2 linked regions of the Rhinolophus ferrumequinum genome follow. The main gene of each other region encodes a partner of the protein of the gene in region 2 in a complex. Links are inferred from orthologs where the notes say so. Each region holds a gene or a part of one and is shown on either strand. Other genes may lie near its edges. The genes, in order: CAPNS1 and CAPN2.

What was found.
Region 1: the proteins of CAPN2 (region 2) and CAPNS1 are in contact, whole or in part, in a crystal structure (PDB 1KFU), measured with the Homo sapiens proteins. The link is inferred for Rhinolophus ferrumequinum from reciprocal best matches to the Homo sapiens genes CAPN2 and CAPNS1. Residues at the interface, in NP_001739.3 of Homo sapiens: Ala2, Gly3, Ile4, Ala5, Lys7, Leu8, Ala9, Arg12, Glu13, Glu16, Phe60, Arg366, Arg416, Arg417, Arg418, Arg420, Asp494, Ile516, Phe551, Glu575, Lys578, Val581, Asp582, Asp585, Gly588, Ser589, Gly590, Gln641, Leu642, Gln644; in NP_001003962.1 of Homo sapiens: Thr85, His86, Ser88, Asp111, Asp112, Met113, Glu114, Ser116, Thr118, Asp142, Arg145, Ser146, Ala149, Val150, Met151, Asp152, Ser153, Asp154, Thr155, Thr156, Gly157, Gly160, Phe161, Glu163, Asn206, His208, Leu209, Met212, Ile213, Arg215.

Annotation. Positions count from the first base shown.
Region 1 is NC_046298.1:36,387,355-36,395,939, reverse strand, and holds the start of CAPNS1 (calpain small subunit 1), read right to left. Parts: upstream 3,986-8,585; 5' UTR 3,882-3,985; intron 3,172-3,881; 5' UTR 3,154-3,171; coding exon 2,933-3,153; intron 1,979-2,932; coding exon 1,945-1,978; intron 1,673-1,944; coding exon 1,583-1,672; intron 1,414-1,582; coding exon 1,356-1,413; intron 1,263-1,355; coding exon 1,198-1,262; intron 108-1,197; coding exon 39-107; intron 1-38. UniProt on the Homo sapiens protein: Regulatory subunit of the calcium-regulated non-lysosomal thiol-protease which catalyzes limited proteolysis of substrates involved in cytoskeletal remodeling and signal transduction. Essential for embryonic development.
Region 2 is NC_046310.1:12,887,057-12,896,036, reverse strand, and holds the start of CAPN2 (calpain-2 catalytic subunit), read right to left. Parts: upstream 4,228-8,980; 5' UTR 3,996-4,227; coding exon 3,759-3,995; intron 1-3,758. UniProt on the Homo sapiens protein: Calcium-regulated non-lysosomal thiol-protease which catalyzes limited proteolysis of substrates involved in cytoskeletal remodeling and signal transduction. Proteolytically cleaves MYOC at 'Arg-226'.

The sequences.
Region 1 (8,585 bases), on a different chromosome or scaffold from region 2:
AAGTCTTTGTGCTGGGAGTTTCAGAGGTCACCACACACCTGCCACTTTTTGATGTTGTTCCACAAATACTTGAATTCCTCAAAACCCAGCTTTCCTGTCGTGTCACTCTGGTAGAACGGTGTTAAGAATAGCTGTACCCAAATGCATGCATTGTACACCCTGTGTACACAACAATGATAACAGCCAATCAGGGGAACCTGGGCTAAAACCCCAGCTCCTATCTCACCCTCCTCATGTCACCGTGGGTGTGGCTTTCTCATTTTATCCATACATATTTTACTTTATATTCCTAAATGATAAGGAATCTTTCAACATAACCATGTGGAATTATAATGAACTTTTCTAAGCTACAAATTCCTCACCTGAAAATAGTTGCTAATTCCTCATTTATAAAATTCATGATAGTAATTCAATTTCCTAAATGTTAGGACATGTAAAAAAACAAGGACATCTCAGAGCTCTAAGGAAATGAGGTGACGGTAGTGAATACCTACTGGGTTTGTGATCAGAGCAGAATGAGATATTGGCAGAAAGCCCTTAGCTCAGGGGCTGGCATTTGATTAGTTCTCAATCAACAACAACAGTGGCCAAGACTTAACAGATTACGTAGTACACACCAGAGAATACTAAGCTTCTCAAGAACGTAACTTTTCTCACTAAGTCCTCAAGACACCAGCCCCACCAATATTATTCTCCAGTCAGAGACAGAAACATTCAGAGCTGAAGAGTCTACTTGTGTAAGATCATAGTAACATCTAACACATTATCACTCACCCCATTATACAGATAGGCAAATTGAAGCACAGAGAGGCTCAGTAACCTTGCTAAGGGGCAGAGCCATTATTTAACTATGCCGCACACGTACGTGATCACATGACATGAATATATGTACGTATGTCTGCACTGCCTTATGTGCTCAGTGCGCATGTATCCAAGATTAGCTAATGACTGGCCCATGTGCAAATAGACATATTTTCCTGTGCATATATCTTCACGCATATGGGTGTACCCTGGCACACATACGCATGTGCACATACCTATGGCAGTTATAATAAGCTTGGGTTCTTAAGCCCCGAAGACCTGAATCCAAATTCCTATCCTTCCACTTTTTATGAAAGCTACATCCTGGCTCCCACTCATGCTCGCAGAAAACTCCCTCTTCACACAAGGCCTCTCCCATACTGCCCTTAAGGATACATCCATCACGGCCACCATGCTGCGACATGTGTCAATGCCAAAACCATCAGTCTTCAGATCTGGGTCTGTAGGGGACAGGTTGACAGAGGCCAGAGGTCACAGCTACCCCAGCTGCCATGCCTCTAAACCTGCCCTATGGGTTGACCCTAGTCACTCACGTCGGGTCACGACCTTGTTGAGAATGTTCATGAGTTCTGTGGCGCTGACCTCCATGTCCTGCAGGGAGAAATTAGGGGTAGATCAGGGGTGACTGAAAGGGGTCTAGGAGTGTCATGAAGGAGGATAGGAACTTTTGGATTGCCATGGTTGAGTGTGTATGTGCAAGGGCCATCCAAGGGAAGGCATGGAAGGGTTAGGACAGGTCTGGGGACCCCGGGTTACTTACCTCTCCAGCCAGCTGGGCAAATAGCCTCCGGAACTGCCGGACTTCCTCACTCTCATTGGCCTCGACATTGGAGTAATGGGTTCGTGGGGGCTACAGAGGGAGAAGATCTCAGAGCAAGTAAGGGGAGGGGCAGTACAGGCCTAGGTGGGAAAGTCAGAGTGGGCAGTGTAGCTGAGTGATCAAAGGAATGAGAGGTGGTCAGTGAACAGGGAGTAGGTAATAGCTAAGTTTGAGGACATGGAAAGGGAGAGACTTAGTAAGAGGGATATCATAAGAGGGAGAGGGGCTTTTCTAAAGGGACATGGAGGGATGCTGGAAAAGGCCTCTTAGTGAGAAGTCATCAGTTGTGGAGGTCGGCTTACCGGGGGCTCTGGGTTGTACTGCGCAGCCGCCTCGCTGGAGGGAAACGGGAATTAGCGCCAGGGGGCGGGGCGTCCAACTGGCAGCGCCAGCCCCCACACCTCAACCTCCCCAAACCCCAGCCTGCCACCCTTGGCCTGCCTTATCTGTCCTTGTCCTCACGTGTCCCTATCCTTGCTGCCCTGATTGCACCTGCGAGGAAACTAACAGGCTCAGCCCCCTACGGTGGGCTCCACTCCTACCAAGATTCCTCAATAGACCCAGCCCCCTGAAGGGCGTACTCTATAAAAGCTGCCCCAGCTTCGCGGGGCCCCGCCCTCCTCAGGTTCCATGTCTGTCTAGGAACCTACTCCATCCCTAGGGCTTCCTGAATGCTTGTGTCTTCCCAACATCCCACCCCAGCCCCATTATTTCCTGCCCCTTCGAGGGATCACTGCTCAGTGGCCAAGACTAATTAGGTCCCTAATTAGGCGAATTAGACAACCTGCCCTACTTCCACTACGACATTTTTCTATTTTAATCCAGCCAGTTTCCGGTAATGCCGTGCCCCTTCAAAACCGTTTCTCCTATCTCAGTAGGCCTCGGCCTCTTCAGGGCGCAACTTCTCATTTATCCACTTAAAAGTCCACACCAAGCCCACTTGACAAGCCTTGCCCCCACGAAGTGACACCCAGCCTCACTGGCTCCGCCCCCTTAACGTTCGTTTCCAGATTAGCGGAAGCAGGCGATATCCAGCCTCCCTAAGCCCCACCTCCTAAACCCCTGCCGGGACCCATCAACAGTCAATCGCGTCTCCCTAAAAATCATGTCAAGCCCCGCCCTCATAAACTGCGGTCAGCCTCATTAGGGCCCGCCCCCTCAAGGCTGGCCTCCCAGCCCAGGTCCCGCCCAGCCTAATTAAGGCTCCAGGTCAATCTCCAGGTTACCCCATTCTATTCTTCCCGGACAAGCCTCCTCCGCCAGACCCCGCCCCCTCAGGCCCCGCCCTACCTGATGGCGCTAATGACCCCGCCCAGGATGCGCATGGCAGTTCCACCACCGCCGCCGCCGCCGCCGATGCCGCCGATGCCGCCGCCGCCGCCGCCGCCACCGCCTCCGCCGCCGCCTCCGGCCCCGCTGATCAGGCCTCCGAGTACATTCCCCAGGCCCCCGCCCAGGCCTCCGCCTCCCCCTCCACCGCCGCCTTTCAAGAACGAGTTAACCAGGAACATGGCTACGACTCAAAGTTCCTAAGGAGGAAAAAGGGGTCAGCTGGCCTCCTCGCCCAGAGCCCGCCCCCTCCCCACAAAAATACGCATTTCTGGCAGCTGGACGTAGGCAGTAATATGAGGCCTCTAGGGGAGGACCAATCTTCCGGCTGGGGCTTGAAGAGTCCATTCGGGATGGGGTCTGGGCTTCTGAAGGAGAGCAGTTCTCGGGTGGGTGCGATAGGGACAGAGGATCAAGTATGAAACCTCCTCCAGACTGAAAGGGTCCCGGTCAGACTTGAGAGGCCTGGATTGAGTCTACACATAGGCATCATTAAGGGTAGGGGTCCAGGTCTGGTTGGGTTCTCGGGGGTCCCAAGTTGGTATAAGGCATCCTGGACGTGTCTGGACGCCCAAATCTGAGTCCCAGAGCCCAAGAACTGAACTAAGGGTCTTGGGCGGTTCAGGGGCGTGGATCAGATTCTCGGCCTGGAGGCCCCCGGGACAAGGTTTGGGAAATCCAGGATGTGGGTTTGAAGGTTTAGGTACTCCCAGCAGCGGGATTACAGTGTCACCGCCGGGTCTGTGGGCTCCGGTCCAAGATGGTGGGTGTAAGCCCCGGGCCCGGGATAACGGGGTTCTCCATTAGAACTGGGAGCACGGATCTAGCCGGGACTTTAGGGTCTTGTAGGGTCTGGGAGCCGTAAAGGCCGGGATTACGGAGTACAGGGGGGTCTGGCCCGGGCGCTCACCGCCTGTCTTACACGTCCGCTGGTCCGCTCCTCTGCGCTGCTCCCGGGCCTCTGGCTGTGTCCGGCTTGGTAGGGCGGGGCCCGTGACTCAGGCGACTTTGACCGGGTTAGGCTCTCGGGGGCCGCCCAGACAGCATCCGCGCGGTCCTAGCGCGGTCCTTGAAACTGCGCCTGCGCGCGCGGGCCCGGCCTTGCTAACGGGATGAGACCGCCCGGGCCCAGCCCAGCATTCTTCCGGCGCCGCGGGCTGTATCCCGGCCGTGACTTCATAGGTCTGAGGTTGTCCCTACATCTCGCCAGCCCGGTGAAGACACCCGGGGACGAGAACTCCAGAGTGACACCGCAGGTTGTAATGGGAATGGTCGCCCCGAAGCCGGCCTCCACCCGGCTACAGATGTGATTTTCTGTCGGCTCGAAACGGGACTCTTGGCACCCGGCCCCTATCCTGGCCTTGTTGCGACAGACAACATCCTAAGACCCCGAGTTTTATTTGGCTCACAGTCCGGGAACAAGCATCCGCATCTGGCAATGACTAAGGGTAGACTAGCTTTTCCCGGACCTTGTAGTAGCCAGGATGGTAGTCAGACTGCGGGTAGGACTTCGCCGCCTAAGAAAGCGGCCTTGTGCCCTCCACCCGCATTCCTTCACCCCCAAGTCAGGGTCACCAGAATAATTTTTCCTGAAGAGGCCCAAAGTGTCACCTCAGTCTCTAAAGTGGAGCCCGGACATAGGAAGAGTGTCGGCCAAGACCTGGTGTCCCAGGCTACCCTTCCCAAAGTCGGGTGATGGGCGCGAAATGAAGAAACGTAGGGAAAGTGGTAACTCAACCTGCCTTTAGAATCCTTTCTGTTGCTCTCCGGTTCCAGACTCCAACCTGTGCACATCCAGTACTTTTTCAGGGCTCTTCAGAAGGAGCTAAATCTAGCTACTGGGCAGTCTGGCCATCTGGCCATTAGCCTCTCCCCTGGAGGCTGGCTAGGCTTGTTTGAATCCTGCTTCTGCTCCCTAATAACTGAAATACGAAAAAGTGATTTGAAGTCTCTACGCAAAGATCTTCTAATCTGTAAAATGGGAACAAGTTTTCCCATGGCCCCCTCACAAGGCCCCTATCATAATTAAGTGATTAAAGCTTAGTAAATAGTAGCTCTTATCCTGTGTCTGTAACCACGCTCTTCCCTCCTGCTCACCTGGATTCCTCAGTTGGTTGACTCTTGCTCATCCTTAGATAATACTGATAAAAATAACTGCCACGCACTCTCCTAACCACTTTACATGTATCAGCTCATATATCCTCATAACTTTTATGGGATGGATGCTACACACTCTCCATTTTACAAATAAGTAAACTACCTCTGAAGTTAAACTCCCTAGCTCGTACTGGTAACCACTACCCTAATGAACTGATTCTTCAATAATATAATTAATATGAAAATAGCTCAGATAAGATCAAAATAGACAAAACCCACAGTCAACAGCTAATACTTCCTGAGGGCTTGCTGGGGCCAGGTCAAGGAACTCCTACACAAGCCTTGTCTATGAGGCAGGAACTAATAGGAGAGAAAATGGAGGCTCTGAAGGCAGGGTCACTTGCCTGAGGTCACAGAGGGTGTCATGACCAGGTCTGAAGCTAGGCTTGGCTCATGCCAAAACTCTTGGTGATGACTAATCCAGATTCCCGTCTCACCACACCCTTCCCTGCCAGACTGAGCAGCTTCTGTTCTCTGCCCTCTCCAGGGCTCACTTGCTGCCAGGCCTTCAATATGGACTGTGCCATCTACCTGGAACACTTTCTCCCTTTTTCACCTGGTTTTGTATCTCCTCAGGCTTTGGGTGTCAGCTGAGGTGTTACCTCTCCTGGGAAGCCCTCCCTGTCTCCACCCCCATCTGAGAGTAGGTGTGGCGTCCAGTTACATGCTTGTAACTTGTTCTTTCTCTTAGCACTCACTGCCAATTACAATCATATTGTGGTCCAGGTCTGTGTCCCCGACCTTTAACCCTGGCCAACTCCAGGTCTTAGGCCTTGGTCCACCTCTCTAACCCACTGAAGCCATAGAGGATCTCCCTCACATGCGTAGCTTAAATTCCATCCCTAGGCTATCAATACCCAAATTTCTATCTTCAGCCCAGGCGTCTCCAACCTCCTATATCTTGCATCCTACTCACCGTCTGTATAGGGGTCTTAGAGGTGCCTCAGGTTTCACACATCCTAAACAGCTCCTGACCTTCCTCCCAAACCTGCTTCCTCCCCACCTTCCCCACCTAGGTTAATGGCATCTCTGTCCTTCCAGTGGCTGAGACCAAACACCCCAGGGTCATCCTTGACCTCTTTCACACCCACTCCAACCCATCAGCAAACCTCTTCGACTCTACCTACATAATCTAAACTCTTCTCCTCCTCCACTCCTCCCCAACCCCCACCTCCATCCTCTGCCTCCTGGACCTCACGGGCACCTCCTCCCCAGTCTCCTGCTCACATCCCTGTCCCCACAGTCTGCTCCCCACAGGCAACCAAAGGGAGCATGTGAACCCGTGTCAGGTCAGGGCCCACCTGGCTCATAGCCCTTCCTAGACTGCACCTCACTCCAGATAAGAGTCAAAGGCCTCACCATGGGCACCAAGTCTCTAGTGCTCTGTTCTGTCTCCTCTCTGCCCTCATCTCCTCCCTCTTAAGAAAGTGGGAAGAAGCCCTACTGGCAGCTTGACCTGGATGTTCCCAGCTGAACACGGACAAGACACAGAGGAGGAGGCTCTGCCAGCACATCAATGTCTAAGCAGGGGGCCGCTACTCCATTACCAAGGCCCTCTCTAGCCCCACCTCAGTGCCTCAAGTATGCACATCTAGTGACCTCAGGAAGCCCCACACTCCCTATCCCACTCCACACTGCTCTTTATCACCTGCTAACGTACTGAGTGGTTTACTTATTTACCTAGTTTCTTGTCTCTCTCCCCCACTAGAATGTGAGCTCTTCAAGGGCAGGGATTTCTGTATGTCTTGTTCACAGCTATGTACCCAGTTCCCAGAACAGTGCCCAGAACATCTTAGGTACATAGGTATTTGTTGAATGTATGAAATACTTTGTGTGGATTTTCTCATTGAATTTTCAGCACCGTCAATGAGATAGTACAGCAAGCATTACTAAAGTCTTCCACCATCTTCCGGACTCCTTTAAACTCAGGCATGGTTATGTGACTTGTTTTGACCAATGAAATGTGAGTGGAAATGTTGGAAGTGTCACTTCCCAGTGTAGCATTTAAAGCCAGTGCAGGATGCTCCGGGCTCTTACCTCCTTCCTAGGCAACCTTGGGAGAGCTATGCAAACACAGAGCTGCTGCACAAAGGAAGCTACCCGGATCACGGAGCCATGGCATGGAGGACTTGTGCCTGTTTCTGTGAGCAAGAAATAAATTTTGAGGTGTTAGTCCACTAAGATCTAGGGCTCATTTGTTACCACAGTGTAACCTAGCCTATTCTGACTGTTGCAAGTAGATGTTGTTATGATGTCCATGAGGAAACCAGAAAAATGGAATTACTTGTCCAAGATTACACAGCTAATAAATACTAGAGTCAAGATTCAGACCCAGGAAAGCTGGCTTTGTAGCTCATGCTTTTAATCCTCACAATTTGCTGCCTCAATTATATTAATGTTACAATGCTACCAAGTAGGAAACTCACAATAGTCATGACTGTCCTAACTAATGCCTCCTGAGGGCTTGATGGGACCAGATTAGAATAAGTAATTTACAGGTACGTCTTGGAAGGCCTCTCACAACCTTCTGAAAAAGGAACTAACATGAGAGGAAGTGGAGGTTCAGAGAGGTGGAGTCATTTGCCTGCGGCATGGCAGAGCCAGGTCTAAACCCAAGCATGGTTGATGCCAAATAGTTATGTGATGACTATTCCAGATTACTGTACCTCCTCTGCCCTCCCTTCAATGGTGTATTAGTCAGGGTTCTCCAGAGAAAGAACTAACAGGCCATAGGGAGAGAAAGAAAGAGATTTATTATACTCGTATACACCCTGAGAGCAATTTCCCATGTCCCTAAAAATATAATTTTTTGTGTTTTCATAATATTCCATCCTCTGAAAGTTACTAGAATTTTTTTCATTCATTCATTCATTCATTCAACACACATTTATTGAGTGCCTACTAAATCCAGGCGCCCAGATGTGTGATGGGGATGTAGTGGTGAACAAAACTCCCGGGGCTTATGTCCTAGCAGAGGAAGACACACAATAAACAAGGAAATAAATAAACAATGTAACCCTTCTCTATTTTCAGATAAAGCATGTCCCAAAATATGTGGCAGAGATTGGCTAATTGCTTGACTAAAACTGCTCCCCTTTTTTCTTCCACACAAGAATTACATTTCCCGTCATCTATTGCAATTTTGTATGGATATGTAACCGACTTAAGGCCAACGGCATGTGAGCTGATGTGTCATATCCAGTCTCCAGGCTTGACCTTAAAAACCTCCCACAAGTGGTCTTCACTTTTTTCAACATCCATGGGCTCAACAGAGGGGACTCTGAGGACCTAGAGGTGGGCAGAGCCACAACATGGAAGGAGCCTGGGTCTCTGCTAGACTCTGTGGAGCAGAGTGACCCCACTGACTTACATTGGACTGTAGTGTGAATTAAAATATAGACTTATTAAGCCACTGAGTTCTAAAGTTTCTTCAGTTAAAAGCAGCTAGCATTATTTA
Region 2 (8,980 bases):
TGATGGAAGCCAACCTTAAACAAATCTGGCCCCTTGGTGAAGCAGCCCTCTCAGCAGAGTGTTTCCTGATTCTGCAGAGCCCCACCCAAAGCCACAGAGGAAGTCGGGGCATCCATCTGGGTTTCTCTAGGCCTGGGCAACCTTGTAGGAGCTCCACCCCACACCCTCGGCGTGCCCCTCTCTGCCAAGCAGAAGTGTTTCCTGGGCGAGACCCGGATCTAGCCCCTGTCCATCCCGGCTTAGGTCGCAGCTCTTCTGGCACCACCACCTGCCCCAAAGCACATTCCTCTCACGCGTCTGCATTGTCTCTTCCCTGCTCAGGCCAGTCTGTTTGGGGGATTTTAGGGACAAAGAAACAACAAGCCAGCTTTTGTTTTGAGGCCTGCCAGCCAAGCACTTATGCAGTGGATGGAACAGGGCTCGGTGCTAGGAGCCCAACACTGATATTGACAATCCTCAGTGTGGCGAGTACTTTCCCCAGAAGGATTTTTCCATTATGTTTCAGAAACTGGGCTGCATCTTTGGTAGCATCTCTGACGGAGGCAAAGTTCATAGTGGCGCTTAGAAATGTTTCAGAAAACTGAACCGTGCTCACAGCATATAGAGTATGGAATTAAGTATGGACGTAACAGGCCGAGGAAAGGGGCTGAGGTCTTGGGCTTAGGACTCAGACCCCTGGGTTTGAGTCTTGGCTCGGCCATTTATTCTATGGGTTCGATGACCCTGCAAGTTCTGTTTCGGCCTCACTTTCCTCATCTGTAAAATGGGGATGGTGATGACAACAGTACCTACCACAGAGGGCTGAATGAGATAACTAAGTAAATGTGCTTTGGTAAACACTATAAAAGTTACTCATGATTTTTATTATCATTCCTATTATTACTGTTTTATAAGAAGTCGATGACAATCATCACTGAACTTGGAGGCAGGAGATGGATGCAGGCTTGAGACTGAGTTCAGCCAGCTGAGGACACGCCAGTCAGAAAGCTCTCTGAGGCTTGGTTATCTCAGGACTCACAGCACTTGTCCTTGCTTGGACTTGACTGGTGCCATCCTTGGGTCGCGCTGGCTTTCTCCTCACGCCCTGCACCAGTGACGTTAGCCATTTCCCCTTCAGTCCCCTTCCCACCCCTGGAGCCTTCTGTGACCAGTGTCGGAAAACCCCCTCTCTGAGGAGGGGCCGTCCCTCCCGATCCAAGGCTGGCCGGCTCTCCTGCCCTTCCGCCTCCTCTACTCTCATTTCCTCAGGCACCCTGTTCCATTACCTCCTCCCAGCCTTTATCGTTAGTCCCTTCCTTTCCAGTGACTCAACATACGACACACTGTCATCTGAAACAACAGCCTCGCAAAGCCCACTCTACCTCCCATATTTCCTCTCTTTCCACAAGGCTCCCTTCTGAAACGACTTGACCATACCCTTCATTGCCAGTTCCTTACTCTGGAGTCTACAGACATCTGGCTTCTACCCCACTGAAATCCTATCCCCCTGCAACCGCTCTGTTAAAGTCGCCATTGATTTGCTCATGTTTGAATCCAGGGGACACATTTTTGTTCCCCTGGCCTGACCCCAACCACAGCGGTGTTTAGAAGGCAGGACGGAGGCAGAGAGGGCCGTCGTGGGCTGTGGGCTCTAAACGCCCATAGGCTGGGCACAGTCCTGGCTCCACCCTGGACATCTGTTTGAGCAAATATTTAATCACCCCAAGCCTCAATTTCTTCACCTGCTGAATGGGAATATAATAGACACCCCCGCTGGTTGTGTAGTGCATGACCTTCCCCACAGTGAAATGGCTCCAGAACTCTCTCCCCCTCTATTGTCCTGAGGCATTTCCAACTATTGGGTGACCTGTCTGTCTCCCTTCACCAGCCCCTAGTGAAACTACATGCATCGCGAGAAGGCAGCGCATGGAGTTTACATACAGTTTTTAATAGTTTAGAGGCAGAAACTGTATGCGCTGGGACTGGCATATACTAGGTGTTCGATATACGCTCATTGAATGAATGAAAGAATAAGTCAATGAGTATGTAAATTCACTTTGTAAACCGTAAAGTGCTATGCAAATGTAGGGTGAGTACATTCTCTTGTGTATCACTTTCACAACTATTTGAGGCTCATTGCAGTACTGCATTCATTCATTCACTCGTTCCACAAATCGTCAGTCTCTTTATTCACACATGCATGTATCCCCCCTGCATCTAAGACAGTGCCTGGCATATACTCGGCCCTCAATAAATATTGTTGAATGAATGAATGCATGCATGCATGAATGCATTCTGTGAAAGGCACTAACGCTGCCAGACGATATATGGGTGGATAATACACACCTGCTCCCCGCCGTTCAGAAGGACAAACAAATCTAGGTAATGGTGAAAAGTTAGAAACTGTGAAAATGCTGTGAAGGAAATTAGCAGGGTTCATAAAGAATAACAAGATGGGGGGGAGGGGCCTGCTGAGAATGGTCAGGAGAGGTAGCTTTGGGAAAGGGACGTTTGACTAAATCCCAAAGAATGAGAGTTAACCAGATTCCAGAAAACCAGGAAAGAACGACCCTGGCAGGTGAGAAGGCAGGAAAGAAAGAATGGTACCTTGGAGAAACTGAAGGTGGCTGAGCCTCGAGAGCCAGTGAAAAGAGGAACATACTTAGGCATCACTTCTTCTTTTAGATGAAGACATGGAAGCAAAGAGGTTAATGGCTCAGGGAGGGTCACCCAGTAGGTCTGCACGAAATGAACTCCAGTGCTCAAGTCCTGGCCAGTGGTACTTGCTATTGCACCTGCTGTTTATGCGCGGGGCTTGGGGTAACAGAGAAGGTGGCTGGGGAGGCTCGCAGGACTGCAAGCAGGTCAGGAATGTTTATTCACAACAGCATCTAGAGGTTGGATTCCCCAGGAAGCCATGTTCAGGTTTGGGAGGGAAGGTCTGGTGAGGTGTCCCACAGGAGGTGGAGCCAGCAGGGGCTCCATGGGAAAGGGATGGCCAACCAGGTTAGGGAAGGAGCTGTCCCAAGACCTGCCAGGGCAAGCGGACAGAGCGGGGGTGGGACCCGGCAGCGAGGAGGGAGCTGAGGTCCCGGGGAGGATTCTGGGCCAGCGCAATGATGAGGGACTGGTCTTTCGCTGTATGTATCTCCCCTGTCCTTGATCACCAGTGTGAATGGTACCGGGAGGTCTTCTGAGCTCCCCTTTCTTAAAATAAACAAGAAACTCGCCTTAACTCTAACCAGGACTGCATAAGACCATCCTTGGTCACCAAATGACCAGTCTGTGGACTTCCCCTCTCTGAAGTCCAGACTGACTTTTCCTGGACCCACGTTGCCTCCCACTCTCCTTTCCTGAAGACCCTCCTCCCCCACCTTCCTCCATCTCTACAATGGAGTCCAGCAAAAACTGTTCCCCAGGCCCCCGTATGTCACCGCAGTTTTTGTGAACTTTACAGGGGGTTACCCTGGCGGGACTGCTAGTGGGTTTTGAGGGCAGTGTCCAGCGAAGTGCCGTGGATGGAAGAGGGAACAGGCGCCCTCTGTGGACGCAGTCCACCCGGGAGCGTACCCGCGCGCCTGCCATGCACCGGGTAACGGGCCAGGCCTGGGGTTGGGCGCGATCGCGCGGCTGAGGGTTGTGGCTGGGGCGGCCGGGTGCGGGCTCGCTCTCCAGGACCCCTTGTCCGGTCCTCCCTGGCCGGGAGCCCTGGGCGGCCACGCCTCGGGGCCCCCACCCGCCCTGCTTCGCATCCCGCCGCGCTTCCTACCGCTTCCTACCGTGGGCCGCTTCCACTGGATGCCCTGGGTCTTGCTGGAGTAGGGTCCCAATTCCTTGAAGCCCAGGGAAGACGGCATGGCGGGGAACGAGGGGTCCTGGAAGAGCGTCCCGGCCTCCAGGCACTGGTCCCGCAGCGTCTCGTAATCCTGGTTGAGGTACTTGATGGCCCTTTCGTGCGAGCCCAGTCCCTCGGCCGCCTCCCTGTCCCTGGCCAGTTTAGCCGCGATGCCCGCCATGGTGCCCGGCTGACCGGCGATCGAGGTACAGGTCTCGGGTACTGCGCACTGCAGGGGCGAGGCTGGGCCCGGCACTCGGCAACCGGACTGCGGGCTCCGCTGCCAGCGATGATTCACCAGCCGGGAAGCGCCCTCCGCCCGCCGGGGTGTGGCCTCGCCGCTCCCGGCCTGCTCGGCGCCGGGCCCGGGACGCAGCCTGCCCGTGCGCGGCCTGCAGAGCGCCCGCGGGAGGGACCGCGAGGCCGCTGCTGCCACCTGCGGACGGCTCTGGGATGGCCCAGCCGGCTGGCCCTGGCCATAGCGGCTCCCGAGTGCAAAAGTTAGCCAAAACTGATAGCCAACTTCCCACCTCCCGGGGATCGGGGATCGAGGACGGGCGAAACCCAGGCTGGGGCAGTGGTGACTCGCCAGGAAACACCCTGTGAGTCAGTAGATCAGGGAGTGAGGTCGAGGAGAGGAAATCAGCTGCCATCGTTTGGGTCTGGACTTCGTGTCCTAACAGCTCTGTATGCGTGATCTCATTTAATCCTCCCAGCAACTCTCTAAGAAGATGGTCCTTCTGCTGTTGTCCCCATTTTACAGATGGAAAAACTGAGCATCAGAGAGGTTCAATGGCATTACCCAATGTCACACAACTAGTCTCAAGCAGAACAAGGGCTCAAAGTCACCAAGGCCTGTTCTAATCAGGATGCTACACTGTTGCTGGTCAGCTATTGGATCATAAAGAGGGGTGACAGACGTGGCAAATAAAAACACGTGCAGTTAAATTGGAATTTCAACAGACACCAATAGTTCTTTTAGTGTCAGTGTGGCGAGAAGAAGAAACTTTCCTTTGTTCCACTGATCTAATAATTACATCAACATGAGACAGATTAACAAGAGAAAATAGTCAAATTTAATTACATACCTAATCGTACATATGGAAACCCCACATACATAAGGGAGTCAGACACCCCACATACACAAGAGGTTCCGAGTCAGAAAAGTAAAATGGGTTTACATGGCATTCAGAGCTAAGGATGAAGTCAGGTGCCTGGGGTGTCAGAGGGGAGGGAGTCATTCTCAGAGCGATGGAAAAGCAGAGGGTCAGTAATTAGACGTTTGCCCTGCCCTGCAGATAAGTCAAACAAGTTGATTGATAATCTCTTAGGACGAGCAAAGCCCCTAACTTAAATTCTTTATGGGGGAGGTCAAAGTTTCTCGTGAGCCCCAGGGTCTCCGTTGTCTTCAGCTCAAAATAATCCACATGCCAAAGTGGCCCGTCTTGGGGAGGCGTGTTCTGAACCCCTTCAGTAAATATGTCTCAAATACTGCAGGGGGCCATACTTGTACTGGAAAATTAGTTGTTTATCTGAAACTCACTTTTAACTGGGAGGATTGAGTCAATATCGGTAGAGTGCGTAGACCAGTTATCTGTATTCAGGCCACCGTGAGCACTCTGCTGAGAGGTAGCAAGAGAGTTTCAGCTCACACAGAGAAGTGGGTGTGTGCCTAGGAGTGCATGGTTTCCTCCTCTCCTTTCCTACACTCATAGAAGAATGTGTGTTTCAATGGAAAACTACAGTTTTTAACTGGAAGCAAATTTGTCCTCTTTACCCTTCGTCAGGGGACATTTGGCAAGGTCTGCAGACTTTATTGTCATGACTGGGGGATGCTGTGCTACTGGCCTTTCTTGGGTAGAAGCCAGGGATTCTGCTAAACATCTTAATAATGATGCCCAGAACAGCTCCCCACAAGAATTATCTGGTCCAAAACATCCATAATGCTGAGGCTGAGAACCCCTAGCTTAGAGCACCTCTTTCCAGGCCATCTGATTCTAGCCTGTCATTGTTTTTGAGTTATTTTACAACCCTAAGTTGCAGATAATGGTAGCAATGCAAAATAATTTTTCTGTAAGCATGCCAATTAATTCTGTCCAGCAGAGAGACGTCTCACCCCATTGGAGAAGACAGACGAACAGACGAGTCCATTTCAGTGTTCTTTACCTCATGTAAATGTGTGCTTCTTTGATTTCTCCTTTGAACCAATGATAACATCTGCCTAGTTGCCTGCTTCAATTAATGAGTTAAATGAAATCTTGAAAACATATTAATTTTATATCTGTATGAGAGTCATGATTTTACCTTTTCTCAAAATCACCTTTGAGCCTAAGGGAGAAAGACCAGATAATGCTCTGTGAAGAAAGTGGCATGTAACTTGGTCTGGAAGGATAGTTTGAGATTTGAATATTCAGGATTTTTCTGTGAAACAACAACCTGTCAGGAAAAAAGTCTTTGGAATTGAAAAAAAAAAAAAAATTCCTGGGTGTCCTGTGGAATGCTGGGTGACTCCTTTCAGGGGATCATGTCCGTAGTGGTCTGTACCTTTTACAGTCTTCAGACTATTTTACAGCTCTGTAAGCTGTAGAAAATTGAGAGTAATGCAAATAATTCTTGTCCGTGTGTATGCACATCAATATCCTCAGGTGGAAGTGCAATCAGTTTTGCATCTATTAACAAGTTTATATTCTTTGAACTGTTTTTTTAAACGCCTACTGGTTGCCTAATCCACTCATAAGTTAAGTAAAATCTTTGACCTATGTTCATTTTGTATTTGTATGAGAGTCCTTCTTTTACCCTTTTAAGACAGTATTTTTAAATGTATTAGGGTGACACTGGTTAATAACGTTATATAAATTTCAGGTGTACGAGTTTATAATACGACATCTGTACACCCTACTGTGTGCAGACGCTATGTGGACAGGCTCTGTGCCTTAGCATTTGTTATGTCACGTGCACATCACAGGCTCTTAACGGATGATGGAGAAATAAATAAAAAGGGTGAGAAGTGTTTGAAGAAAATAGAGGCACTTGGTTTGCATAAGTGAGAATATTGAGCCCTTGATGCTAACCCCATTAAAAAAAAAAATTTCTGTTTGATTTTGAGACACTTGCCTGTTTCCGAGACTTGGAGAGGAAAGAGGGGTGCTGTAATAAATCATAAATTCCTAACTGGGCAGGTCTCAGTGGGTAGTCAGGCCCCAGGCCTATACCTTCTTAGTGAAAAGTTTTAAGGAAGCCCTGTTCATTGTTGTGTAGCTAGATTAGCACCTAACTTTGAAATGCCAGAAATAACACCCTTTGAAGTCATAATTGCCCTTAAGAAAGCACATAACCTTGTGATCCAATCCCTGCCTTGTCCTCGCTTTCTCCCACCTGCACGTCATCTTCCTTATATTCCCTTCTTAATTTCAAACACATAAAAGAAGCTGCAAACTGTTATTCTCCAGAGCATTTGAGATCTTGCTCCTCGGCCTATGTTGTCAGTTTTGGCTCAGATAAACTCTTATAAAAATTCTCTACAGGTTTCCATGTTTCTTGCATCAACAGACTGCAGAAGTCTCTCTGTGGAGAACTAGAGTTCTCCCTATTGCAGTCGTCTTTCTTTCTCCTTAAAGTCTTCCCTGCCTAAGTCTGGCTGTGTTTTTATTTGACATCCTCCACTTCCAGTTTGCACGTTGCCTGATGGAGAGGTGTCACTGCTGGCCACCAGGCTCTGCTTTCTGTACCCTCAGATGACATGGGGTACATAGGCATTCATTTCTAGCTTGAAGGTTTCTGGTGCAAAGGTTTTATGAAACCATCAGAATCGAAAACAGAGGAAAGAGACAGCCCTTCCTGGAAGCTGTTGATTTGTTTCACTCTTCGATTTCCTTTGGGCCCACCGGGATTTCTTCCAGGGTCTGGGCTCTGGGGAGGAAGCTTGTGTACCTGCCCCGTATGGCAGAGCAGCTGGGAATACTCAGACTTCTTCTCCTGCCAATGTCCTGGAAGACATTCATCCCTGGGGGGAAGTGCCTCCTCCCAGGTGTCTGGGCTTTCCCTCCAGAGTCCTCTAAGCAACAGAGGACCGGGCATACCAGCCCTAGTGTCACAGGCCAATCAGGAACTCCATGCAGCCCTGGGACACAAGAGCCTCCTGGCTCACCCAGGACTGTCTCTCCCCGGCCAGGGAACACCTCTTCGAGGCGGCGGTAGCCACTGACCCACCAGCCTTCTGTGCACACAGGATTAGGCTTTCAAAGGCCCATAGCTGTCCTGAGCGACTCAAATTTACTTCCAGCCGCACACAATGACTATTGCCCTCACCAGTGGACAGGGGCCAGTTTTTAAACCTGCTTAAACATGTTCTTTATACTTTTCAAAGCTTCTCACACAATGCTATCTCACTGGGTCCCACATCTCATCTTTCTTTGACCACACGATGTCTTTCACATTAGCACACAGGCGGGCGCAGACAGACACACACACCGTGGGCCTCACCCTTCACGGTGGGGAACCTTCCTGGAGTGAGTCCCCAGCCCTGAGGGCAGTGGGTGAGTCAGAAGCAGCTGAGATTACCCAAAGCTGCCTCAGTGTGCCAGAGCCCAGTGTGCCAGCAGGTGTGTGTGTGTGTGTGTGAGAGAGAGAGAGAGAGAGAGAGAGAGAGAGAGAGAGAATGTGTGTCTCAGAGGACCACTACAAGGCAATCTCTTTTTGTAGCATTTTCCTTGATTGTTTTTTCCAAGTGAAAAGAAGAGAAAATAAAACATCTAGGCCACACCACCTCCACGGCCCTGGATGTTTGTGAGGTGTCAGAGGCACGACCTTCAGCTTCTAGAGGTGCTATTTGAAGCCACCCTTAGAATGGAGCACCCCCATGTCCGGGCACTGAGCTCCTCTCTTTACGCACATTTCATCATCCTCATCATTGGTCACAAGAGATCTTATTTCCCCATTTGTAGATGAGAAAACGGAGGCCCAGCCACGTGGCTGTGAAGGGTCGCAGCGTACCTGGCCCTCACGCCCTAGACCACAAGCCTGTGGGTCTCTTTTCCCAGCTTAGGAGGGTGAAGGGGGTGGCTGGGGGCCTGCTTTGTCACTGGGGCTGAGGCTGAGGGAAAGCCAGGTTTTTCTTCTCCTCCCTCGTTCAGGTCTGTGATCTGACTTCAGAGGGACCAGAGAGAA